Rattus norvegicus: one gene and its partners. The protein of the gene in region 6 interacts with the protein of the main gene of each other region in a pairwise test. Links are inferred from orthologs where the notes say so. Each region holds a gene or a part of one and is shown on either strand. Other genes may lie near its edges.

Region 1 (2,242 bases), on a different chromosome or scaffold from region 6:
AGTGGTCCCAGATAGACATCCCGAGACAAAGTGACGGATGCTGGGAAGTTAAGACCTGGGTGGTGGTGGTGGTGGTGGCTGCGGTGGGGGGGCGAGCTTTGTACAGCAGGAGTGGTTCCTGGCCGGGGTCCACGGCTTGCACGGTGGCCACAGTGATGAAATTGCCATCAGAGATGGGGGCAGTCTGGGTCCCCAGGAGAGACAGCACCTATCGGCGGTAGTGGTTGGGGGCGTCCGCAAACATGTACTTGAGTCTGTAGGCCTCAGCCAGCAGCAGCCCGATCTCCTCGTTGCCCCAGTGGATCGTAGGCAGGTTCTGCAGCAGCATGAGGAGGCCCTGCAAGGCAAGGAAGGCCTTTCATCCCTGCAGTCTGTGGCTGGGGAGGTACCTCCTCCAGGACCATGCAAGCCCCGAAGTCCAGCCTTCGGCCTCCTAAGAATCATGTAGCCCTGGGCCCCTTGTTTAGTTCAGGAAGTCTGAAACCCTCACAGAGAGATCTCTGAGACACTAACTCGGCCTCTTCACATGCTGGGAGCCGAGGATGAAGACGGTACAGAGAGGAAGTCACCACCTGCTTCCGGCCGCCCAGGCCCGCTCTTGCAGCACTGTCATTCTGTCCCTATGTCTGCTTCTCAGCTGTACTTTGTTGTTTTGTTTCCTTATATTTCTTTCTTTCATTCATTCATTCATTCATTCATTCATTTTGCTTTTTCAGAGTTGGGATATTTGTTCTTATCTTTTTAATTGTAAAAAGATTCATCCTGGGGGCTGGAGAGATGACTCAGGGGTTAGGGGCACTGACTGCTCTTCCAGAGGTCCTGAGTTCAAATCCCAGCAACCACATGGTGGCTCACAACCATCTGTAATGGGATCTGATGCCCTCTTCTCGTGTGTCTGAAGACAGCTACAGTGGACTCACATTCACAAAAAGATCTGTCCTGGGGCTAGCGGGAGAGCTCAGCTGGTAAAGTGCTCCGGTGAGGAGCAGGAGTCCCAGGACTGCAGGAGTTGGAGACAGGATAATTCCTGGGCCTTGCTGGCCAACCAGCCTCACCGATATGGTGAACCCCTTCTCAGTGGAAGAGCCTGCCTCAAGAGACAAGGTGGGCTGGAGACGTGCTCAGAGACCCTGGCTACTCTCCCAGATCTGGGTTCCAGTCCACTACCCACAGAAGGAGAGGCTTAAAACCATACAACTCCAGTTCCTGGGATCCAACGCCCTCTCCTGGCCTCCAACAGGTTCCAGGCACACACGTGGTGCAAGACAGACATGCAGGCAAAACACTCATACACATAACATAATAAATTTTTAAAGAGTAAAGCCAGGGGTTGGGGATTTAGCTCAGTGGTAGAGCGCTTGCCTAGGAAGCGCAAGGCCCTGGGTTCGGTCCCCAGCTCCGAAAAAAAGAAAAAGAAAAAAAAAAAAAAAGAAAGAAAAAAAAAAGAAAAAAGAGTAAAGCCAAGTGTGGTAGTGCATGCCTTTAATCCCTTCCCGCCCCCAGGTGGATCTCTGTGAGTTCAAGGTCAGCCTGGTCTACAGAGGGAGTTCCAGGCCAGCCAAGCCTTCATGAAGAGACACCCACCACGCTGTAACCTTCTTTGGCTTTGCTTGTTCTCCGTGGGATGTGTGCTTGTGCGTAGACTGTGGAGGTCAGAGGGCACCCTTCAGGACTAGGTTCTCTCCTTCTACCATGTGGACACCGGAGTTTGAACTCAGGCTGTCAGGCTTACCTTTACCTGCTGCTCTCTTCCACACCCCTTCTTACTGGAAAATTCTAGTATTTCTATAATGATTCTATGCTTTTGTGCAACCTGTAAACAAAACCAACCAACAAGAGTGGCCCAGCTCGAAAGTAGGACACATTTTCTGCGATGGGAGCCATTCTGACCTCTAACTCTAGCTTTAGTAGATGCTTTCCAGGCACTTCTGAATAAATTCTATCCCTAGTCTAGCACCCCTTCCTTTTCCCTCCTCTCTCATGGAAAGAGTATTGGCTGTGAAGAGCCGCTCTGCCACCTGGTGGCAGAGACTGGAACTGCAGCTCTCCACCCCTGCCGGTTCCCTGTCTGAAAAAGTGGGAACCAGTCTTCAGATAAAGATGCAGAAACGGAATGACCATGGCCAAGGGGCAGAGGCGCTAGTCACAAGTCAGGTGTGCTTAGCCAGGGGGATGGAGAGACACTGCCAGAATGACACTGAAGATTGTCTACAAAACGGTTCCTAAAGCAGAGTTCGGAGTC
Region 2 (4,194 bases), on a different chromosome or scaffold from region 6:
GGTGGACCATGATTGGATGGTCACCATCACCAGCTTGCCCTACCTAGATGGTACCTCATGCTTTTACAGAGACCACACGGACCTCTCTGAAGCCCAGTGCTTCTAGAGGTGTTCTGCACCCACTTCTGCAGCCCCGGCCTGTCTGGCAGGTCTCGGCAAGGGCAGAAGACGGGATGGAAGGAACATTTAGGAAGTCCCAGCAGGTAAAGAAACCCTGCCCCCTGACAGGAACACAATTACTAGAGAGTGCTTTTTGTCTTCTATGCAAGCCTCAGAGCCCAGTGAAGTCAGCTCCAGGTCGGGGCGATGGTCACCTACACAGGATGCACCGTAGAACAAACCTTCCTACCCAGGCCCCTCTGGCCCTAGAACAGCTCAGAAGTACCAATATCCAGATTCCAGGACTCATCTCTCAAGGGCCAAAAAAAAAAAAAAAAAAAAAAGAAGAAGAAGAGGAAAAAAGAAAAATATCCCAGAAGGAATGTTGAATGCAGTCATGCGAATCAAGTGTACTAATATTCCCAGGAACAATGGGATGACAGCTGTTCCCAAATGCCGCCCGCACCAGTCACAGTGCTGACACACAAGCCCTTTGTCATCTAAACGGATCCTCACAACTACCTTTAAGGAAACACACAATTACCTAGAACGAGAAGGGGACAGAGAGTGCACACCTCACTATGATACAGATAAACCGAGGCTCCATTTTGGTCCTCTTCTTCACGTGGTCCCCTCGGATTTTTAATGCTCACAGCATTGGGGGAGGGCTTGAAAGGCAATCACAGACCCTCATGAAGAGTTCCCCACTTGTAAGAATACCTGTCCTGTGTCCTGGCCTCCCCACGGCTCTGCAAATGGGCTGCCATCGCAGTCTGCCTTCATTTCACAAATGGAAAAACACCCAGAGCCAAAGGGTGTGTGTGTGTGTGTGTGTGTGTGTGTGTGTGTGTGTGTGTGTGTGTGCGCGCGCATGTGTGTGCATGTGTAGAAATGCATCTGATGAACTCTCCCACTCCAAGGGCTCATCACCACCTAAGGACAGCCCAGGAGTTCACTGGGCCCCCTGCCAGGGTGCAATAAACTCGTGCTTTAGTGTTTGTGTCTGGTCAGTTTCCAGGAGGCCCTGGAGACCATCCCACTTTATAGAAACCGGAAATGCAAAGTTGAGGCCACCATACTACTTCTGGTCACAGAAAGGTGTTCAAGGCCAGGTCTCTCATGACTCCCATCTTGGAGCTGTCCATAGGCCATTAGAAATGACAACCCAACCAAAATGCCTCCCTTCCTGCGGGAGAAGGGCTCTCATCCAATTCAAAAAGCAGTGTTTTTGACCTCAAAAGAGAAGTTGCAGCCAGGGGACCAGAGGCCAAAGAACATAGGACTAGGAGCTAGGTGGCACCTCTGACCCTGACTCAATCCTCGAGCATCCATTAGGGACCTTATATTGTCTCTCCTGGACAGCAGCTTCCCTACCAAGATGGCTGGATGACCAGCTCCTCCCACTTCGACACACCAAGTCCCTTCTAAGCCCGTGGTGAGGGAGCTATATTCTGGAAGACTTTGGCTGTTTAAAAGGCAGAAGGAGGGACTGTCCACAGGTAGGAAGGCAGGACTCTAACCCTGGAGTAGGAACTTCTCAGCAGAAAGTCTGCCTGGTAACAAGGCCTCCAACCACAGAAGCTGTAGATGCCTCCAGGGACAATATTAATACTCTCTCCCGTCTCTGAGAGGGGCAGTATAATACCCCTTCCCATCTCGGAGTGACAGCTCCACACCCCTACATGATGGAGGTCTATGGTCAGACAAAGCAAAGGGCATCTGGGCTAATCCTCAAAGGCCTTTCCCTTTCCCCTTCCCCCAGAATACTTATAGGGCAGGAAGAATCAGAGTACAAGGCAGACCCTTTGAATGGCCACCGAGCTCCCGAGCTCCCGGTTGCTATTGCACCTGTGACCTTGGGCACTCTCAGCCTCCTTTTGAGGTAGCCTCTTATCCAAAGACTAGCCATCTGTACCAAAGACAGGATTCGGGAGGAGAGGGGAAGAGAAGGAAAGAGGAGCATTAGTCTCCTTTATTTTTCCCAGGAGCATCGCTTACAGGGATGGGAAAAAAGGGCTTCTCACTTCCTCCTCCACCCCTTGAAACACACAGGTGCCAGACAGCTTTTGCGCAAAAACTAGTTTGCAAACACACTCCGACTTCTGGAAAGCCGCTCAGCACTCTTCCCCATCTCTTCTCCCACATTGGAGCAGGGAGTCGACCCTAGGGCTGATACCAAGCAGGGCCAGGTCCGGGTCAGGGTGGGGTCAAAGGGCGCACTCTCCTCCAAGCAATTGTGCTGACGGCTGCGGTCGCCAGCTCTCGGTGGCCCTCCAGACACCTAACGGTGGAAGAGGGTCTCCCAAATAGCTAGCCGGTGTCCCCGAAGCTGCCCATCCAGCAGCCCCCCGCAGACGGGCGCCCCCGCGTGGCCGGGTAGGAGCTGAGTCCTCCGGGGCGTGCTGCGGGGGGCGGTGGCCAGGGACGTTGGAGTCCCTCCCTCAGAACCCGCTCCCCTCGAAGCCCCAGGCCGAACTTGGGCGCGCTCAGTGCCCGGCCCACCGTCGCCGCGGACCCCACTCACCGCGCTTCCCCAAGCCTCAGCGTGCTCCGGGTCGCCGGGGCATCCCCGCGCGCTGTGCTGTCGGTCGGGCGGCGACGCGGGACAGGGACAGGGCGCTACCCGCGCGGCCGTACCCACTCCTGCGCTCGCCCGGGCTGGGGCTGGCCCTCCTCGGGCCGCGGCTGCAGCACCGGCTCCTCCCTCCAGTCGAGGGAGGATGTGGGCGGGAAGCGGGAGCGAGGCGGGCGCTTCCTGGAGGGGCGGCTCTCCGGGCTGCGCGGGAGCCTGTCCGACTCCCGGCTGGTGGCCCGCGAGGACCTGGACACAGCAGGCTGCCACTCTGTGCGACGCCGTGGATTCGCACCCAGCACCTGGCCCGCCGCTCTGGGCGTCAGGCACCGCCGAGCTCTGTGCGTTGTGCTCCGGCTGTAGACGCGAGGACCCAGGGGTGCGATCTCCTGGCCCGCTAGACCCCGAGGCGCCGCCCGTGGCTTTCGCCCCAAAGCGGGCAGGGCTGGGCACTGAGCCCTCGGGGAGACGCCCAGTACTTGCTTCCGGCTGTTGGAGCGGCACAAGAACCGCAGTGTTTTCTTCCTCTTATTGTACTATTAAAAATATATTTTTTATTTCTTTCAATAGCGTTTTCTTGTCGCCTGAGACAGGGAAGATGACACATATTCCCGTGACAAAGACGATGAGCTAAAGCCGTTCAGAGTGGGGTTTGGGATCAACGGGAGAGCAGTTCTGCGGAGCTGAGGCCTCCCACTCTGTGCATCCCGTTTTTGACCCAGAAGAGGCACCAGTTCTTAAGGGCTTATTTTGTCGCTGGGCAGCTGGTGGTCACTCAGTGGTATTTTGTACCCTCCGATCGAGTTAACCACTGGACATCAGGGCCGAAGCTCTTTTAACGAGATACTGTTGGGAGTGGGTTGGAGGTTGGCTGTCCAGAGATCTTATAAGCATAGTTAAAGCCCTGGGCCCTGGTGTGCACGGACTGGGGGAATTGTGGGACTGAGCAGTAAAGCCTTGCGCTTGGGTTGTAGGTTTTCTATTCCAGACAGATAAGGGTTAATGCGTGAGACTCTTGCAGTAGCTACGCGCTCCCCCCCACGTCTGAGTCACTGGCACTTTGCAGCCTTAGAAGGGCCCCCACTAAGCAGCCCCAGGGCACAGAGCTTTGTTCTCTCTGCCTGCCTGTCCCCGGAGCTTTCTGCCTTTCTCTAGATTCTCCTCGGTCTTCTTGCACAGAAAGTCCTCCATGCCCTCTGCTCAGCTCTGGGACAAAGCAACCTGTGGCTCCTCTTAGAGCGGAGGTAGAAAATGGGGACCGCATAGTCTTTTCCAGACTGGGGAGCAATGCCAGGTAGACAAGTAGATGAATAAGTTCAGGATGAAAGGCAATTAGCATAGAGACCCAACTCAGCCATGGGACCTGACCAGCACTCTTCTAAGAACCCAGAATTAAAGCGTTTAGAGGGTCCAGGGAAAGATGTTGCTAGGTCCTGATGGGGAGGGCGGAGTACTAAGATCAGGTGTCACAGCAATTCCATTCCTGGTACCTACCCAAGAGAAATGAAGACGTATATTCGTGC
Region 3 (3,500 bases), on a different chromosome or scaffold from region 6:
GCACCATATGGGTCCCAGGAATTGGATTCGAGCAGTCAGCTTGGTGGCGAGCACCTTTACCTGCTGGGTCGTTTCATCAGCTCCAAAACACAGGTTCTGAAAGACAACTCGGTCTCTCACAGTACAGTATTTTAAGCTTGAAGCCTTTCTAATGTTTTGACTGCAGGTCAAACATAGATCAATGTGTTCAAAAGTCAAACAGTTACAGATCATCAGTCTGTCACTCACTGATTTTGTATGATCTGGCCGAGGGGCAATGACGGGAGGAGCAGCATCTTCATCGTCATCGTCTTCCTCTGTCACCACAGCTGATGTCTCTGACCCCTTGGTGTTCAGCTGCGTTCACCATAGCAGCAAACGGAGGATAAACCAATAACATCAAAGGTTAAAATGCGACTCCCCTATAAAAAGTCTTACAAGCTTATTTCTTCAATAGCTAGTATATAAAAACTACAGAACTTCACTGGTTCCAATATAACCAGTTAAAAAGGAAATAAACATATACGGTTGAGTATCACTTTAGTGGGGAGGGGACTCAGCTAAGGACTGGTCCTGAGGCTTGTGTATGGTGTGACTGCTCACCTTCTGAGCTACCTTCAGAGCTCCCAAGTGCGGCAGGCACTATTCCTGCCCTTCACATAAGCACACGTGGTGCTCTGTTAATAAGCACTCCTCTTCTGAGGACCAAACTGAAGGCTCTCTGGATCTGTAGACATTTGAGTGCTTTAAAAGATCCAGATTCACCAGTTAACAAAGCAAGAAAGGGAGCTGACAAAGGTTTTTACCTATTTAGAATGCGACACAGTTTACCACACCCAGAATGGTACTGGTAGGAGGTCTGGGGAGGAGAGACTATGCCATCTAGTTCACCATATTCAGGTTCAAAATGGCAACAATGGAAAAGTAGTTAATTTGCTCTGTAAGCCATTATGAAGATTAGTTGCTTTAAACTGTCCGACAGGAAAATCCTATTTACTTAATATAGTTTCTTCAATTAATCAAATGGCTAACTTTAAAAAAGAAAAAAAAAAGAAAGAAAAAGTAACTAAAAAGGTATTTATCTGATAGTTAATTTTATTTTACTCTTGGTTTGTTTTTTTTTTTTTGGAGATACAGTTTTGCTAGTCACTCAGTCGTGCAAATTCACAGTGATTTCAAGACTGTGGCCTCTTGAGAGCTGGGGTTGGAGACATGCCTACCACATCTAACTGTTTACATTTATTCATATTCTTTTCAGTCCCCTGTCCTTATATATTTACCAAGCAAAGTAAAAATAGACTTGTTCTAGGCAACCCAAATTAGAAACTATAATAAATTATTAACTTACTGCTGGTGTTCCAGAAGGAAAGCCATCTTTCTCTGAATGTGAAACAGAAAAGATATTAACAATTTGAGAAAGAGAACTGGGAAATGACAAAAAAAAAAAAAAAAAAAAAAAAAGCAAGCAGACAGGGCTTTGCTATGCAGTCGTGGCTGGCCTGGTATTTGCTGTACAGTCTCTGATAGTTGTTTCTCCTCCCCACCCCATCTCTATTTTAGATTTTATTTATTGCATGTATAGGGTTAAGCGTATCCTTGGCTGGTGTGGAGCTCGAAATGTAGACCAGCATGGTTTTGAACTCAGAAATCTGCCTAGCTCAGCCTCCTAAGTGATGGGACTGAGGGTGTTTTACAAAACACCAGATGAACAGAAAGGCATTTTCACATCAAAGCTGCCATTTATGCACAGTAGTCACTTCCACTCTACCGCACTCACAGCACCACCTCCGGCATGAACCTGTCTGTGTATTGAGAAGCTTTGCCTCCGCCCTCCGTTGCTGGCAGTCATCTAAAAGCATCAAACGGGGCTGAGAGACGGCTCAGCGGCTAAGAGCACTGACTGCTCTTCCAGAGGTCCTGAGTTCAATTCCCAGCACCCACATGGTGGCTCACAACCATCTGTAATGGGATCCGATGCCCTCTTCTGGTGTGTCTGAAGACAGGATACTTATATATAATAAATAATTTAAAAAAAAAAAAAAAAGAGCATCAAAGAGAAAAAGATTAAATAAGCAAAGAGCCCAAACATCCCCAACTCTATTTCTGGCAAAACGATGAGGTTAACTGATCTGCAGACATGCTCTGGGCCTACCTCATCACCCTCGAAAAGGGAGATTTGTGCGGGAGAGAGGGAGCGACAGCGGCTGTACTCCATCTTTCACCCGGGAGGGCTTCGGCTCTCCCACCTGGTCCAGCCTCTTACCACGGTCTGGGTCTTACCAGGAGGAGTGAAGCTCAGGTACTTCTGCTTCACAGTGTTGGAGTCGTAGAACTTCAAGACATCCAGCACAGCCTGCGGGTTCTTCTTCTGCTCCAGTTTGGTAATGTTGGAGGTCTGCAACAGCCGTGCCCACTGCTCTGGCATGCCCTAACCAAAAGAAATCCACAAATCAGTTACGGTTTAATGCTCTAATGAAAAACATTTCACAGGCCAACGACAACACCCAGGCAGTCGTGTTACGGAAGGCTCTGAGCTGCTGTGTGGGTGCTGGGAGCTGAACCAGGTCTCCTGCAAGAACAGCCAGTGCTCCGAACCTGAGCCCTCTACAGCCCTACTCACTTATTTTTGACACAGAGTTTTAACTATATAGCCCAGCCTGGCCTGGAACTCAAAATATTTTAAATTCCAGTTGCCTTAGTTGCCCACAGTTGCCTTAGTATTGGGATTAAAATGTACAGTGGTTTTATTCTGTTTTTTGAGACAGGGTTTCTCTGTGTAACCTCAGCCGTCCTAGGATTCACTTACTCTGTAGACCATGCTGGCCTCAAATTCAGAGATCAACCTACCTCAAATGCTGGGATTAAAAGTGTATGCCACCATGTCTGGCAAAAAGTCTAGGTTTTTTTAAAAGGACTATGTGGTCAACTGACAGGCTCTAGTGTGGTCCTCCAGTACCTTCCAAATTTTGTTTGAGATAGGATCTTCTACTGGCCTAAAATGCTACCAAATAGGTTGGGAGCGTGGAATCACGCAACAGCATTTGGCTTTTTTTTTTTTTTTTTTTTTTTTGGTTCTTTTTTTCGGAGCTGGGGACCGAACCCAGGGCCTTGCGCTTCCTAGGTAAGCGCTCTACCACTGAGCTAAATCCCCAGCCCCAGCATTTGGCTTTTTATGAGTTTTAAGGAAAGATCTGAATTCAGATCTTTTCATACTTGCAAGATAAGCATTTTGCCAACTGAGCCATCATCCTATCCCTAAAAGTTCATTTCTCTGTGTCTTAGTCATGGTTTTACTGCTGTGAACAGACACCATGACCAATGCAGCTCTTATAAGGACAACATTTAATTGGGGCTGGCTTACAGGTTCAGAGGTTCAGTCCATTATCATCAAGGTGGGAACATGGCAGTGTCCAGACAGGTATGGAGCAGGGGGAGCTGAGAGTTCTATGTCTTCATCTGAGGACTGCTAGCGGAACACACTGACTTCCAAGCAGCTACAATGAGGGTCTTAAAGCCCACAC
Region 4 (3,500 bases), on a different chromosome or scaffold from region 6:
TAGCATCTGTAAGTGATATCCTAGACTTTTCTAACAGACTCACCATAAGGCAGTGAGGCTGACAGCAGTCCCTGGCGTGCGTCCTAGAACTTCTGCAGGTGATTTGAGTTTTGTTTAAGGTTCAAGCAGGCTTCAATATGTGTAGCAGAGGCTGGCCTTGAACCCCTCCCGTCTCTAGCCCCTGATTGTTGGGTTTAAAGGAATATACTAACATGCTACCCAGCAGTTCTTTCTTTTTAACATTTAATGCATGCGCATGTGTATGTGAATTTCACAGCACACATGTGAGGAAGCCAGAAGACAGTTGTAGGAGTTGAACTTGGGTCTTCTGGTTTGGAGGCAAGCACTTTGTATGACGAGCCACTTCCCTGCCCCTCCCCCAACTGTTAACATGATCTGGCCTTGCATTTGTCCTGTCCATGTGGCAGAACGAGAACCACTTGCCTTGCTCCACACTGACATGAAAGTCTGCAAAGTATGGGTTTGTTTTTTGTTTTGTTTTGTTTTTTCGTTTTTGTTTTGTTTTTGTTTTTGTTTTTTTGTTTTTTTTCCCCAGAGCCGAGGACCGAACCCAGGGCCTTTCACTTGCTAGGCAAGCGCTCTACCACTGAGCTAAATCCCCAACCTCAAGTATGGTTTTATTTGATTAAAAACAAATTCCTTTTCAGAGTTAGAGACCCTAATCAAGATAAGTCAGCAGCAGAGAGAGCAATGAATAGCTTTCTCTCTGACAAGCTAACTAATGCTTTTCTCCTAAGGAAAACTCAACCCTTAATATGGTAAAGAAAAGATAGGACTTTTATTTTTCTTTTTTTTTTTTTTTTTTTTTTCGGAGCTGGGGACCGAACCCAGGGCCTTGCGCTTCCTAGGCAAGCGCTCTACCACTGAGCTAAATCCCCAACCCCAGGACTTTTATTTTTAAAAACTTTTTGTGTATGGTACTTTGTCTACATGTTTATCTGTGTACCGTTTTATGTATAGCCTGGTGTCTGTGGAGGTTACAAGAGGCCATCAGACACCCAGGAATTGGAATTGTGGGTGGGTGTGAGCTGTTGTGTGAGTGCTGAGAACCAAATCTGGGTTCTCTGGAAGAGCGGTCGCAGTGATTTTAACCCCTGAGCTAGCTCTCCAACCCTGCAATAAAACGATTAAAATTTTTAAATTATTATTTTGTGCCTCTTTATTTACATTTTGTTTATTGAATGTGTGTCACATCATGCATTTGGAGATCAGAGGACATTTATCAAGAGTCAGTTCTTGGGGCTGGGGATTTAGCTCAGTGGTAGAGCGCTTGCCTAGGAAGCGCAAGGCCCTGGGTTCGGTCCCCAGCTCCGAAAAAAAAGAACCAAAAAAACAAACAAAAAAAAAAAAAGAGTCAGTTCTTTTTTCCACCAAACAGGACTAGAATTTAGATTATCAGGTTTGTTAAAAATGTTCCTTTTTCTACTGAGCCATCCTACCATCCCTATTTTTCTTTATGTAGATGAGTTGTTTTGCCTACATGTATATACTGTGTGCGTGCCTGGTGCCTGCAGAGGCTGGAAGAGAGCGCTGAATGCCCTAGAACTGGAGTTCAGAGTGGTTATGAGCCTCTGTGGCTGTGGGCAAACAGATGTGGGTCTGCTCCAGTAGTAGCAAGGCTCCTGACCTCTGAGTCCCTCACTAACCCGGAACAGCCGAACAGTTTGTTCTTTGTTTGTTTTGAGACAAATCCTGTCTTTTTGTTGCCCTGGCTGTCCTGGAACTCTACCCATAGACCAAGCTGGCTGTTTTGAACTCACAGAGATCCGCCTGTCTCTGCCTCCCGAGTACTGGGATTGAAGGTGTGTGCACCGTAACCCAGCAACAACCAGATTCTAAGACACTTGGTGTCCAGGTGACTCCAGCCTGGAGAGCTTAGGGCCCTCTGCTCTGGCCTCCCTTGCTTAGGACTCTCTGCCCTCTGCCTCCCTGCTTGCTTTTGTTCCCCTTCCTTTTGGCCTCAGCTTTGGACACTATGCTTCTGTAACATGCTTGCTGTGTGAATCCCTCAGGTGAGACAGTGTCGCTTGTGGACGTGGACATATCTCAGCGGGGCCTGACCTCTCCACACCCTCCAACTCCCCCTCCTCCTCCAAGAAGAAGCCTCAGCCTCCTAGGTATAGTCTCTAACCCACCCTTTTGCCATCTTGCCCTGTAGGGAGGGTGAGCTCTAGGGACTTGCTCTTTGGTCAGGGGCCAGATAAGGTTATGGGTTTCTATTGATGACCCAATTAGTTCCCATTCCTCTCTCCAAACCTCTGTCGTTTCTGTAGGGACTTAGATGGGCGGGCATCTTTATTTGCATGAAGCAATATTGACTGTCCATGTGCTGAGTGGCTTCACATGCACCGAGCCCTCAGTCTTGCTCCTGAGCTGCTTTAGGAGTACCCTCACTCTCCTGCTTTCTAGGCAAAGCAAGGCTGATGAGGATGCCTTGCCCGTACTTAGAGATAGCATGACGTCCAGGCTACCTTGCCCCAGAGGGCAGCCTGAAGTCCTCTCCTCCTCCGCCTTCTCCCCACTGTTATGTGCTTATTTTGCTGAACCTCTTGCTTTTGTTCTCTCTTGTAGATGATATCAGTGGGACGCTGCCTACATCTGTCCTTGTGGCTCCGATGGGGTCTTCCTTGCAGTCTTTCCCCCTACCTCCGCCTCCTCCACCCCACGCCCCAGGTTAGCTTAGCTTAGAGCCAAGATTTGTAAGAGTGGAAGGACGGGAGAAGGCTACTTATGGAAATTACAACTTAGGAGAAAGCCTCAATCTATCCCCTTGGTTGGATTAGAACTTGAAAATGAGTCTGAGAACTTTTTTTTCCTAACCTGTTTCCTTTTGGAAGTAAATCTTACTTTTCTTAGAAGTGAAAACCTGGGATTTCTGGTTCCTGCTTCTGGGGCTGCTTTGCAGTTCCCTGAGGAAATACCACTTAAGAAATTGCTGTGATGTCAGTTCAGCGAAGAGGTTTACTCTGTTGCTGGTTATCAAAGTTGTGTAGTTTTTTCCTAAGCTTTTGGTATTTACTGCAGCCTTGTAAATAAGTACCAAGCATTTAGTAGCTCACACCTGCTTTGCCAGCCTCTAGTATCCAGGGAATATAGTGAATGAAATCAGCATTGTTTTCTACTTGCCTGGCAAATCATTACTCTCCCTGGAGGGGCAAGTAAGCAAGTCACTATTTCCAAGGCCGCTTTCCCGGCACTTCACTTCACTTCGAGGTGGGAGAAGTTGGGATCGCTCTAGGCCGGTGAAGCCCCTGAAGTAGTCACCTTAGTCAGGTTAGTGAGCAGCTCCTCTACTGCTTTCCTGGGGTTGAATGCCCCCCCATCCTTCACAGCTCACACAGCTCGCACAGCCTTTTGTTCCAGCCCATCCAGCTCCCTTCCACTGCTTTGGCTCCCACCCTCTCAGCTCAGCTTCTAATGCCTTGCCCCTCCTCAGTTAGCATCTTTTTTGGGGAAGGGAAGTCTGTCTATGGGTTGGA
Region 5 (4,000 bases), on a different chromosome or scaffold from region 6:
TGAAGGGGCCTTATCTGGCATCAATAGGAGCCTGTGAAGGCTCAATGCCCCAGTGTAGAGGAATGCTAGGGTGGTGAGGCTGGAGTGGGTAGGTGGGTAGGTGGGTAGGGGAACACCTTCATAGAAGCAGGGTAAGGGGGCATGCAATAGGGGATTTGCAGAGGGGAAACCAGGAAGGAAGATAGTATTTTAAATGTAAATAAATAAAATGTCTAATTTTAAAAAGTTTTCTGTGGTTGCGAAAGCCTACGGTAAACAACGTTTGGGTTCAGCACGTCAGGCTCCTAAATCGATTGGATAGGGTGTATAAAGTCACACCATGTTTCTTGTTTATAACAGTGCTCTCCAATCTCCCCAGTCTGAACTCCTGTGTCATCCCTCCCCACCCCCACTCATACACACCCCCAGCCCTGTTTTCTTCCACACATGCCCAAGGTTCCTCGCCTGTGGAAAAGGCTGTTCCACTTTTCCACTCTGTTCAGCTTTCTCCCCTCCCAGATAAGCTTAGGCTTCAGCAGTGCCCTGTGCCACCCTGGTCCTGATCACAGGGAACTTCTACCTTTTTTCCCCTCAGGTTTCTCTCCCTGGCTGCCCCTTTCCCTAGAGCCTGCAACATTCCAGTCTTTCTCTTCCTTGAACATGCCTTAAGCCACACCTGGAGTAACAAATGCTTCAGAGTTTGATAATTTACTTAATGTCAACAAAAGAGAAGGAAAAAGTAAGCTGTAGAAACGCAGTCACAGAACTGCAGCCAACTTGGCTGCAGGACCCAGGTTCCCAGATGGACCCTGCCTGCCTGCCATTGCAGGCTCCACCTAACAAGTCAAGTGTGGACAATTGTAATTAGTAAGTCCCACAGACCCCCCCTGAGGTGTCAGGGCAAACTACCCCAGACTGTAGACAGCACTCTAGATTAGCCAAGGACTAGTGGCCTTGCTGTCACTGGACCAAGGCAGCCAAGCCTTGCCTACTGGCCCTGGAGCGCCTCCAGCACCCGGGAGGGGCCTTGAGGGAGCGCCCAGTCAGTCACCCCAGCATGTGGGCGCGGCGGGGCGGGCCAGGGCTGTGATCTGGACGCCGAGTGTCCTTCTGGGCCCGAGTGTTTGTCCAGACAGCCCGCGCGGCTGGGTCTCTGCGCGGCTGGGTCTCTCTGCTTGTCCTCCCTTCTCTTCCTGGAGTTGCTGTAGGCAATCTGGAGGTGGCGGCGGGTGCTTGGACCACCTTGCCCCGGGTCCTGAGCAGGTAGGTGACCGGGTCGGGTAAAACGCTGGAGCATAGAGCCAGGCAGAAGGGTGAGCGAGGAGTGGGAACCAGGAGATGCGTCTCTAGAGCGAAGGGTGAAGCACAGAGGACAGGGAGAGGAAGAGACCCTGGTTCCCGCGGCCAGGCTGCTCACCTGTCCCTCCGGTCCCTCCTCCACGGCGCTCAGGGCGAGCTCAGGTGCCCAGAGGAACAGACCACAACGGCTGCGGGTGTCCGATGTCTCGTGTAGGGTGTCCAGTGTCTGCAGCCGGGTCCAGGTGAGTGGCGGCCCCAAGAACAGAGGGCTTGTGATCATTATACTAAGAGTCTCCAGAGGGAGGAGAATCGGAGGCGACTTGGAGTCTTTCAGGAAAGTTGTCCCGTCCGGGCTGTGCATGCACACGCGGCGAGTGCTAACTGGCCTGGGGCAGGTGCACAGCGGGGGCCACCTGCGAGGGTCTGAGCCACGAAGAGGGTGCTGGGTGTCGGCTACAGTACCCACAAATCAGCGGAGGTCCAATCACTGGGCAGTGCCATGTGGTCTCCTGGCCCGGAGACCTTCCAGACAAGAGTCCTGAAACCGGTTTCAGCACAAGCAGAACTCCATTAGTAAGTTCCCCGCGCTCCCGCGGGCGCCCTCACGTGGTACAGAGAGCAGCGGGCTCGTCGTCTCTCTGTGGTTCTGGGTCAAGGCTCAATCTAGAATCAGCCTAGCCAGAATTTTCCTCAACAAAAGTGAGCCATTACCAACCGTTCCTGCCTTAAGGGGTTCATGGGCCCTAGGTGGAGGCACTCAGTGTTTATAGGTTTTCTCAATGTCTCTCTTTGCTATGGTCCCAGAGAAGCAGGGATGACAGCCTCTTGCTTGTGTAAAGAAACAATGTATTTATAATTTTTCTTATTTAATAATAAGTGGAAGAAATACTTAGGCGAAGATTTAGCACAAATAGGCTTTTCTAGGAATATCTATCTATGAAATACTTCAATCTTGAGAGTATTTACAAAACTTCCAGCTCCTCTCACCACTTGCAATTCATTTTGTTTCCAAAATCATCATGTAAATTAATAAGAAAAATATTGAGCAATTCAAAGCCTGACAACAGAGAACGCAAACTAAGTTCTTACCTTTAGGGATATATGTACTGTAAATACAGAAATATTTTAATGAAGGTAGTTGTACCCAGAGTTTAATTATTATCATTATTGTTATTATTTATTAGGCTCTGTATTAATTAAAAACAATTGTGAGGAAAAGTGGAAAGTGTGAAAGTCAGACAAGATCTACAGGTATCCTGAGAACTTAACTAAATTTTGGACTCTTCAGAAATTTTTAGAGTGAGTGACAGGTATGGGCTTGTTCCCTGCTAGTTGTCTTTTTCAAGAAAAATGCCACAGGAGAGGAAAAACAAGTTAACTGGGCTGTACTCTGTGTTGGACCACGAGTGACTGCACTCAGTATGAGACCCACACATCACCAAACAGTGATTGTCCGGTAACGTGAAAGTAGGAAAACCCCTGGCAGGTTCACTTCCTCCTTTTCATTTCCTGTACTTGTCTCAATAGCTTCAAGGCAGATTTTATCTCAGGATCCAAGAGCTACAATGATCCTCAGGTTAGTTTTATGGATTAAGAAACAGGGTCTAAAGATGTGAAGTGACCTTCCAAAGTCATGGGTCACTGGAGGCAGAACCGGGAATCTAAGCTGGTGAACCTGTCTGTAGCTGTGCTGTGGTCTGCTCTAGGAAAGCCTTGGAGAGCTGGTTAACTGACATCACTCAGAGCCAATCAGCAGTCCAGTTCGGTGCCCATAGTCAACAGCCACAGGCACTTGTTAGCTGGGTTTCTTTTGTATTCCCTGAGGCCACCAGGAACCACGGTATTTTCTTCAAAAGGGATTAAACTGGCCCTGGTGGTTAGGGTCTATATAATCCCAATTATTTGAGAAATAAAGACAGCCAGTGTGGAAAGTCAAAAGCCTGTTTAGGCTAGGTTATATTAAAAACTGGCCTGGACAATTTAGACTCCATCTCAAAACATAAAGTAAAGGGGGCTGGGGGTGCAGCTCAGCAGCGGAGAATTTGCTTGGCATGTGCAAGGGTCAGGTTTAATCCTCAGACCACAAAACAAAACATGCCAACCAACCTTGATGCTTGAAGTCTATGTTACACAAGCTACCCGAAGCAAAGCAGAACAAAGAAGAGAGTTGCGCACCTCTTTACTGGAGTACCAGGGAAGGGAATGTTGGTGGAACAAGGCAAGTGGAGAGTAAGAGGAAGACAAAGTCACCACTGGACCAATGCGGGTAGCAACTCTGTGCTCCTTCCTGGATGGTGTATTTTCTTCTGTGGCCTCTCTAAGCTTATCTACACTTGATTACCGTAGGCTTCCGCACTAGCTGAGGTATCTCCAGTTTTAAAGTTCTCTTCCCAAGGACATTTTCTGATCTTTGTCCGGAAAATTTCAAAGTGGCACCAATCACTTCCTGATTCTGGACTCAGGAGTAAACTTGTAGCAGCCAGTCTGTGCAGTGGATACAGTAACTGCTGTGCTTCCCCCTCACTGTCTTCCTCAGTTCCTCTTGGCACTACAGTGGAAGGAGTGAGGGACTTAACTCTTGCTGAGTGCTTATGGTAGTGCAGGAAACAGTTAAGTGTCCGTTCTGTTATCAGAGAGCGCCTGGAGCCAAATCATTCCTGGAGGAATGTGCCCTTGGCTCTTTGAGGGAGTTAATTTTCAGTTCTCTCTGATCCTTCAAGAA
Region 6 (3,500 bases):
AGAGAGAGACGTCCCCACCATCCAGACCTCAATCTAGGATGGGAAGGAGTCCACCAAACCTATATGAACTCCATTCTTCCAGCCCTTTGGAGAGGGCTGCTTGAGTGCAGGAGCTGCTGAATTCTGGGAACTCACCAGAGGTGTCCGGACACCTTCTGTTTTATGCTAGACAGATACCTATTCCCCAGGAGGCCTCTGTCTTCCTTAGGTTCTGCCTAATGTCTCCAGGCAGCCTGCTGGGAGAAAAACCAGGACCATCACTGGGCCCTATCCTACCCTTGTGTATTCCCCTTTTCATGTCACTCAATGGGAGGGGAGCAGATTGAGGTATCCCAGGGTCAATAGCTCCTGAAACCAAGTGGGGATGGGGGATTGAATCTTTCTCCCTCTGAGAGGACACTTCTGGATTTGACAGGAGGGTGGGACACAGTCACATTAGGGAAGGAAGGCCTGTCAGCTGATGGGTACAACTGCTGATGCTGAGGGTAACTTGGCCTCAAGCCAGCAGTGGAGCAGGGAGGGGTAGCTCTAGAGCCAGTGTGCCCGGGGCTTCCTTGGTCATCAGTCTGCCCGGCCTCACTTTCCCTTGGAGGAAGTCCAAGAGTCAGGAAACTGGGGTGTGTTCACATGGTTGTTTTTTTTGGTAAGAGCTCTAATTGGATCCAGCTGGTGGGCTGCACCTCAACCTCCCCTCCCCACAAAGTCAGGGATTGGCTGGGTCCCAAATAGGCTGCTCAGATGTCAGAAGGAATCCTCACAAAAGCAGACCAAAGAGGGTGCCTGCTGCCCCTAGCCTCCTTGGATTCCTTGTCAATGCCCGAGCAGGAACTGAGCCCAGAAGACAGGTACTGCCGGCTCTGCTGTACTGTCATACACAGTACGGTCCCACAGCTCCTGGGCTGCTCATATGACTGCACGCTGCACACACCCCTGCTGACATTCTTTTCACTTTACCTCCCATGCTCCTCACATGATTCACCACACACACACACACACACACACACACACACACACACACACACACACACACACACACACAGAGGCATATTGACAGCACTGAATATATTCTACCTCTGCCACACACAGGACACCTCCTGGGGTATCTGGTGTCCTTTCTTTGAACCTCCACAAACCCCACAGACACATACAAGCCTGATTTGGCCCAGTCCAAAAGGTGGTATAAGGGATTTTTGTTTGTTTTGTTTTTGTTTTTTGAAACAAGGTTTCTGGCTATCCTGGAACTCACTTTTTTTTTTTAAAAAATTGTTTATTCGTTTATATAATGAGTACACTATTGCTATCTTCAGACACACCAGAAGAGGGCATCAGATCCCATTACAGATGGTTGCGATCCACCATGTGGTTACTGGGAATTGAACTCAGGACCTTGGGAGGAACAGTCAGTGCTCCTAACCGCTGAGCCATTTCTCCAACCCCCAAGGTGGTGAAAGTTTATTCCACTAACACCCATTCAGCCAGGAAAATGAAGAGGTGCAGATCCTATATCATAGTTCTCTAGGCACTAAGTCCCCTTTGTGCCCCCGAACCATGAACTCTCTGTCCTCTAGCACCTACCTGTGTGTGTCCCCTTTTGCTCACCCATCTCCCCAGTGCCCTGAGCTCCCTTCTGCTGACCCTTGAGTGAAGCAGAACCTACTGGCTTGTCAGGCATGATGCCCTCAGTCAGGAAGGACCCTCCTTTCAAAGCCAAGCCTGTGGATACAGGAGTGTTCATCCGTTTAGGAGAGAAACTTCCAGAACTCAGCACCACCCCCAGGGCAGAAGCAAGTCCTTTTTGTTGTCATCTGCTGCTTTGCTTTCTAACCACCCAGCACTAGCTCTGAGCGTTCTGGAGCTGTGATCTGCACAGGAGGCCAGCGAGCAGCACACATTCCCTAGATCTCAGAAGTGGCTCCCTGCCTGGCAATGCTCTCCCATGTTCTTCTTGGCCCTAGTAGGGATGAGGGCAGTGCTGGCTGCTTCCCAGTGGTCAGCAGGTTCGTGGCCTTGATGTTGACTGCCCTTGTGCCTGTGAGCATGCAGATGCTACCAAGGCATGAGCATGTCAGAAGAATGGAAACAAAGTCCTGTGCTCAGGTCCTCTCTGCTAGCTGCCCTAGTTCTCCTGTGCCTTCCTTCTAGGGGAGCTGGCTATCCTGGCACAGAGAGTCCCAGAGGGGTGGTCAGAGGGCTGCAGGCCTGCTCCTGGCCAGCTTCCCTATCTTCCTTCTTGCCTGGCTTCCCCTCCCCCACTTCCACCCAGCGCTCCTGCCCCAGGCCTAACAAGCAGTCCATTGTGCCTCTGGGAGTCGGCACTGGCAGCCTGCAGGCGGGTGCCCAGAGTTGCCTGTTTCCTGGGTCCTTGAGCTCCCACCCAGCTGGCCATAATTCCCTCCCACAACCTACCTTCCTCCCCCACCAGTGGGTTGAGTCAAGAGGTCCCAGGCAGTCCAGCCCAGCCAGGCTTTCCCTTCCTTCCTCCTTCTCTGCAGAGTACACACGAAGGAGCAGCTGGCACATCCTGTGTCCTCCAACCTTGACCCAAGCATGCAAGGCCTCCCTGCTGGGCTCAGCCTGGATGATTTCATCCCTGGCCACCTCCGGGCCCATATAGGTGCATCTTCCCGGGGGACAAGGGTGAGTGAACAGCAAGGAAAAAGGAACGCTGATGGGCCAGCAGTTGATGGGGACACTAGTGGGCCAGGTGGGGGGAGCAGTGGACCGGCAGTCTGAAGGAAGCTCCAGAGAACCTCCATGGCTTCCCCAGGAGGCCAGACTCAGGCTATGCTCAGGCTGCCATTCCTTCCCAGTGGAACTCCAGTGGAACCTCTGGGCCCTGAGCTTGCTGCTCCTGGCCCCTTCCCACAGGTGCCTGTGATCCGGAATGGTGGCTCCAACACCCTTAATTTCCAGTTTCATGACCCTGCACCCAGGACTGTGTGCAACGGCTGTCCCCCGCCCAGGAGAGATGGTTCCCAGCATCCAGGTGGGTCTGCTTGGGAAGATCTGCTCTAAGAACCTTACGCAGGGATGGGGCAAGTTTCCTGTGCCATATGGAAGGGAATGGATCTTTGAAGGCCACGAGAAGGTCCCCAGGGAACTGTGGAATCAGCTTAGGGTACTCTGTGATTATGCAAATCTTGAGAAAGGAACCTTGAAGAGAACAGGCTGACACAGCATTTCCCTCCCTCTTGACAAGGGAAGGACATAGTCTTAGGGGTCAAGGGAACTGTAACAGGGCCCGAGATTCAAGTGGGAGGGTGAGAAGTCTCAGCTTAAGAATGGACAGGGACTGCCTGCCCCCCTCTATGCCCCCTCCCCTCCACATACACACCCAGGATTATCATCCAATCCAAAAGGACAGCTTAAGAGTCTGCCGTCTGGGCCCTAAGGTCTCTGAGCTCCTGGGGACTCCTCAGTACAATCCAGTACTTTGAGAAATGGTGTCCTTTACTGAGCATTCATTCCCCTGAGTCAGACATTGTGCAGAGGACCTCAGT
Region 7 (4,300 bases), on a different chromosome or scaffold from region 6:
CTTTCCTAGGATCTCAGCCTTGTCATCAACACACACGTAAATGCCCACAGTAACAAACACAGTTGCACTGCCCTCTATAAACAAAACACGTGGGGAGGGGGCGTAAAACATTCTGAAGAGTGAGAAGCGAGTGAAAGAATGCATAACAAGAATCTAAACGCTACTGTATCATAAGGATTTTTTTAAGGTTCATTTTATTTATGAGTGTTCTACCTGCATATGTGCCTGCATGCCAGAAGAGGGCATTATATGCAAATCGCATTAGAGATGGTTGTGAGCCACCATGTGGCTGCTGGGAATTGAACTCAGCAGCCAGTGCTGTTAACCATGGAGCCATCTCTCCAGGACCACAAATTCTTGCTAAGTTCTGATTTCTCCCCCTTGCCATTCATCTTCCCTGTTTCCCTTCATTCTTTCCTTCTCTCTTCTCTGTGTAAACAACTTTTTTTTTCCTAAAGTAAAACTGATCATTTCAAACTTTACCTCACTGAAAGCAAATCTCAAAGATTAACTATTAAATATTCGCTTTGACTTTGTCTGGCCTTGGTATTTTTCTGTTTTCTTAAAGACATATGCCAAGTTAAGTATAGTGCAAAACAATTTGTCCCTAGTAAAAAGCTGGGTAAATATTTAAAACTGTTTTTTGTTATCATTCTAAATTAGGTCTTGAGGATGTCAGGCTAAATGATCAATTTTGTGAGGACAGAATGTTCTATGATGAGAAATTTTAAGGCCAAGTGGATCAGCCATTCAAAAGCCTGGTTTTAGAGCTCTCCACTGAAGCCAGTATAAAAGCTCTTCTTGTTCTTAGCTGTCAGTCTTTCCCTCCCACAGAATTCTGGCATCTCTGTGGGAGAGAAGAAAGGATTTCTACATTGTACATCCCCTTCCCCATAGCTCCTTGCTGTTTCATTTCAGCATTCCCAAACTTCATTCAGAAGAAAAGTTTATTGGAGGAAACTTAGAGAAGTAGCCACATTTGTTTGTTACACAAATGCCCCACCCCTAGCAACACTAAGCTGGCATCCCATAGTTCCCTTTAATTTACTTCTCCCTAAAGCCAAAAAACAGGATGGTAAAGGGTTGAGAGTGGGTTGTGCACGTGCTGTAATAGGAAGCCAAGTGGTTTAGCTGATGGGTCAGTTTTGCCAGGGAGCAAAATTTAAGAACAACAAAGCGGGTCTCATGAAGTATACATGACAAAATACAAACTTTGATTTTAAACAACTTTTGGGTTGGGGAAACAAAGCTATAAACGTAATGCTGAGCACAGGATCACTGCTGCAGCTTCAGCCCCTAGACCTACCAGTCTGGCCATGGTCAGCCAAGGCATGCTCAGTGCTTTCTACATCATGGTTACGATCATTTCAAACTCCGTCTTGCCTGCTGAAACTGGATTTTAGCCACGCCAACTAAGGAATGTCAGGAGGGCTGATCCTACTGCTGTTTCTGTCTTAGGAGAATTCCGCTTGGAGTACTTGTTTTGTGCCCATTGTTTTCTTTTATTACTTTCTGAGCATATTGTGTTTTTTTTTTTAATATTCCAAGTCCTTTATACACTTGAGGATGCAGACTCCAGAAGGAATATCAGAAACAGCAAATACTGCCAACCTCACAATTCCTAGAAGAAATCATTTGGCCTGATGATAAGTTGCTCCCAATGAATTTTGTGGGATTAGGAAGTCCCATGCCTTGAAAAAAATACTGTGTCACTTGTCTTCAAAATTCCTTCCCTCACTTTCCAGGTTATTATCCACCACTGGGACCATTTTAGGCAGTTAAGGAATCCTCTGTCTCCCGTGTTGTGCGTCAGCAAATGCATCTATCCAGAGACTCCCCATTTGATTTTATTAGAAGATTAAAGTTAAAAAAGAATCACTTCTCTTTCTGCCTGCTCCTCATTTTCAGGCAAGGTCAAAGAAATGCAGCACAAAGAACTCCGAAGAAGTCAACCTTGTTTTCTCATTGGGTCACCATCTTTATTTTTGGTTCTCCAACTATTTACTCATGGTCTCAATTTAAGCTACAGGCACATCAGTTTTAGTTCCCTTAACCGATAAGATACAAGCTTTGATGAAAAACATCTTTTAGCTTGGGGGAAGCAAGGATCTAAAAGTAATAATAACCTTGAGCAAAGGAGCTTCTGCGATTTCTTGAAGACACCAGTGCTTCTGAGCTCACATTATAGAGAAAAAAAATACGTCTCCTGGAGTGGAATAGCAGTCTGGAATAAAACTACATTTTTTTAAAAATTACAAATTTGAAATAACAGTGAACTTACGTCTTGTAAATTTTACATCGCAGATATTAAAAATAAATTCACCACAGATTGCATTCTAATAGAAACTTACAGTGAGCAAAGTTTTTCTGAACTACTGAGAATGAGCAAGAACAGTCTCAAAGAGAAGATGCTGCTGTTGTCCAGGCTTTAGAAATCCACCCTCAGCAGCTGAACAGCCTCTTCTCCAAGTCAGGAACCCGTTACATACCTTGCCCACTGTTCTGAGACCGAGACACAAGCATAGTCAGCACAGGAGATGCCGAAACCACACTTACTTCTGCATCCTTAATCTAAGGCGCAAGTTTACCAGGAAGAAACATACCTCCTCGCACTTGGGGGTCGTCCTGCAGCAAGTCAGGCTCTGCGTGACCAGTCTAGCAATGGAAGAGGCGGGGCAGAGAGCTAGTTGTCTTAAAGAGCAGTGATTCTTTTACAAAACAAAGTCCATCCATTTCCCACAGCAGTCCTGACAAACCCCTTTGCAAACTGCACCCTCAGAGGACTTCTGAGCTCAGTGTCACAACAGCAGCTGGGCTACTGTGACGTCAGGGACTTGGAGGCGGCCTTAAAGCCGCTGCTTCCAACCAGAGCTCTGTAACTTTAGAGCAGTTCTCCCTCTGGGTAAACAACTCCAGGTCCAGGACATTTTTAACTTTTATAATGGAGCCCAGCATTTTCAAACTTGCCAAGAGAGAGCTGCTTATTAGCTGCACATGATGATAATGGCCATATTTAAGTTTCTCTTATTTGGAAAGTAGACTCACTTTTAGGAGCAAGAACTATCCTCTTCCCCCATCCCCTCTCCTTCCCTCTTTCCCTTCAGTGAGATGCAGTTTCAGTGCCTTTTTAAGTCTTGCCAGGGATGAAATAGAAATGTCTATCTATCATGTAGAATGAGAAAAAATATGAAATACACACACACACACACCAGCAAGCATAAGTCCAAAAGTGTGTTGGAACATATTGAATGTCTGCCTTTATATAGACTAGAAATGGGACATATATAAAGAGCACGTGCTTGTGAGTGCATGTGTGTGAGTGTGCGTGTGAGAGTGTGTATGTGAGTGTGTGTATGAGTGTGTCTGTGTGTGTTGAGTGTGGGTGTTGGGGGGAAGCACATATCAGGCATCTGATAGTTTACTTTAGTCAATAAAGTCTCTGGGGCTAATATAGCAAATAAGCTACACTGGGTTTTAAGTAATAAGCTCTTATCTTCAAGTTGAGCTTTTCCACCTGTACAGTATTATATATAATATGTTATTTATGCATGCCATAATTTGATGGGGTTTTTTGTTTTTTTTTTTTTTTGGTTTGGTTGGTTTTTTTTTGTTTGTTTGTTTGTTTGTTTGTTTGTTTTTGCCTACCTCCAGGCACCATCTCATAAGTAGCTAAATTGCTTAATAATGGTAAACTGGTCATGGTAGAAGTATATTTATTTATTTATTTAAGAACTGATTAATTAATTAACATATAAAGTTTTACTTTGCAGAACAGGCTTGCCTGAAACTCACTATTGCATCCCAGACTGGTCTCGACTTAGTATAATCCTGCTTCAGCCTTCCTAGCCCTGGAATTGTGATTGTGAGCCACCAAGTTCAGCCTCTTTACTTCCACAGAAGGACGTTATACATGCAGAATAACTGAAAGAAATGCTTCTCTGTGTTTAGAGAGCCAGGCTTCAAAATTCCAACAGCAGCAGCAACAACCATCACAGTGACAGCAGCAACACTAGTTGTTCACTGCAAGCGGCTTGAAGCAAAGCTCCGTGCTGAGGTCGGACATCAAGTGGAGCTTTCTGTTAGTCACTCCCTTAGCAACTGTCGCTGCAGTGTCTATTACCCTGATCTTACTTATGTCCATGGCTCAGACAGCTAAAGCACCCTGGGCAACGCCCACAGAAAGGTCTCTGACAGGGGGAGTAAAAATCAGCTTGGGGATCCTGGAATTTTGTCACAGGGACCTAGGGTTCCATTCTTCTGCCCTCGTTTAACTGTGTGAGCCTGTGCCTCTGTTTCTTCC

The links.
Region 1: the proteins of Sorbs3 (region 6) and Tbc1d22b interact in binary tests that used the Homo sapiens proteins (3 or more experiments, as listed by UniProt). The link is inferred for Rattus norvegicus from reciprocal best matches to the Homo sapiens genes SORBS3 and TBC1D22B.
Region 2: the proteins of Sorbs3 (region 6) and Cpne2 interact in binary tests that used the Homo sapiens proteins (3 or more experiments, as listed by UniProt). The two-hybrid records come from large-scale screens. The link is inferred for Rattus norvegicus from reciprocal best matches to the Homo sapiens genes SORBS3 and CPNE2.
Region 3: the proteins of Sorbs3 (region 6) and Pak2 interact in binary tests that used the Homo sapiens proteins (3 or more experiments, as listed by UniProt). The two-hybrid records come from large-scale screens. The link is inferred for Rattus norvegicus from reciprocal best matches to the Homo sapiens genes SORBS3 and PAK2.
Region 4: the proteins of Sorbs3 (region 6) and Socs7 interact in binary tests that used the Homo sapiens proteins (3 or more experiments, as listed by UniProt). The link is inferred for Rattus norvegicus from reciprocal best matches to the Homo sapiens genes SORBS3 and SOCS7.
Region 5: the proteins of Sorbs3 (region 6) and Sh2d4a interact in binary tests that used the Homo sapiens proteins (3 or more experiments, as listed by UniProt). The two-hybrid records come from large-scale screens. The link is inferred for Rattus norvegicus from reciprocal best matches to the Homo sapiens genes SORBS3 and SH2D4A.
Region 7: the proteins of Sorbs3 (region 6) and Kiaa0408L interact in binary tests that used the Homo sapiens proteins (3 or more experiments, as listed by UniProt). The two-hybrid records come from large-scale screens. The link is inferred for Rattus norvegicus from reciprocal best matches to the Homo sapiens genes SORBS3 and KIAA0408.

What each region holds. Positions count from the first base shown.
Region 1 is NC_086038.1:7,672,826-7,675,067, reverse strand, and holds part of Tbc1d22b (TBC1 domain family member 22B), read right to left. Parts: intron 338-2,242; coding exon 209-337; 3' UTR 1-208. UniProt on the Homo sapiens protein: May act as a GTPase-activating protein for Rab family protein(s).
Region 2 is NC_086037.1:10,474,984-10,479,177, forward strand, and holds the start of Cpne2 (copine-2), read right to left. Parts: upstream 2,801-4,194; 5' UTR 2,624-2,800; intron 1-2,623.
Region 3 is NC_086029.1:82,247,435-82,250,934, reverse strand, and holds part of Pak2 (serine/threonine-protein kinase PAK 2), read right to left. Parts: intron 2,408-3,500; coding exon 2,260-2,407; intron 1,360-2,259; coding exon 1,328-1,359; intron 337-1,327; coding exon 229-336; intron 1-228. UniProt on the Homo sapiens protein: Serine/threonine protein kinase that plays a role in a variety of different signaling pathways including cytoskeleton regulation, cell motility, cell cycle progression, apoptosis or proliferation.
Region 4 is NC_086028.1:82,858,612-82,862,111, forward strand, and holds part of Socs7 (suppressor of cytokine signaling 7), read left to right. Parts: intron 1-2,033; coding exon 2,034-2,138; intron 2,139-2,592; coding exon 2,593-2,694; intron 2,695-3,500. UniProt on the Homo sapiens protein: Substrate-recognition component of a cullin-5-RING E3 ubiquitin-protein ligase complex (ECS complex, also named CRL5 complex), which mediates the ubiquitination and subsequent proteasomal degradation of target proteins, such as DAB1 and IRS1.
Region 5 is NC_086034.1:26,173,175-26,177,174, reverse strand, and holds the start of Sh2d4a (SH2 domain-containing protein 4A), read left to right. Parts: upstream 1-1,200; 5' UTR 1,201-1,242; intron 1,243-1,429; exon of another isoform or gene 1,430-1,520; intron 1,521-4,000. UniProt on the Homo sapiens protein: Inhibits estrogen-induced cell proliferation by competing with PLCG for binding to ESR1, blocking the effect of estrogen on PLCG and repressing estrogen-induced proliferation. May play a role in T-cell development and function.
Region 6 is NC_086033.1:51,684,473-51,687,972, reverse strand, and holds part of Sorbs3 (vinexin), read left to right. Parts: intron 1-2,492; coding exon 2,493-2,637; intron 2,638-2,868; coding exon 2,869-2,986; intron 2,987-3,500. UniProt on the Homo sapiens protein: Vinexin alpha isoform promotes up-regulation of actin stress fiber formation. Vinexin beta isoform plays a role in cell spreading and enhances the activation of JNK/SAPK in response to EGF stimulation by using its third SH3 domain.
Region 7 is NC_086019.1:30,456,111-30,460,410, forward strand, and holds the start of Kiaa0408L (uncharacterized protein KIAA0408 homolog), read right to left. Parts: upstream 2,801-4,300; 5' UTR 2,604-2,800; intron 2,585-2,603; exon of another isoform or gene 2,127-2,584; intron 1-2,126.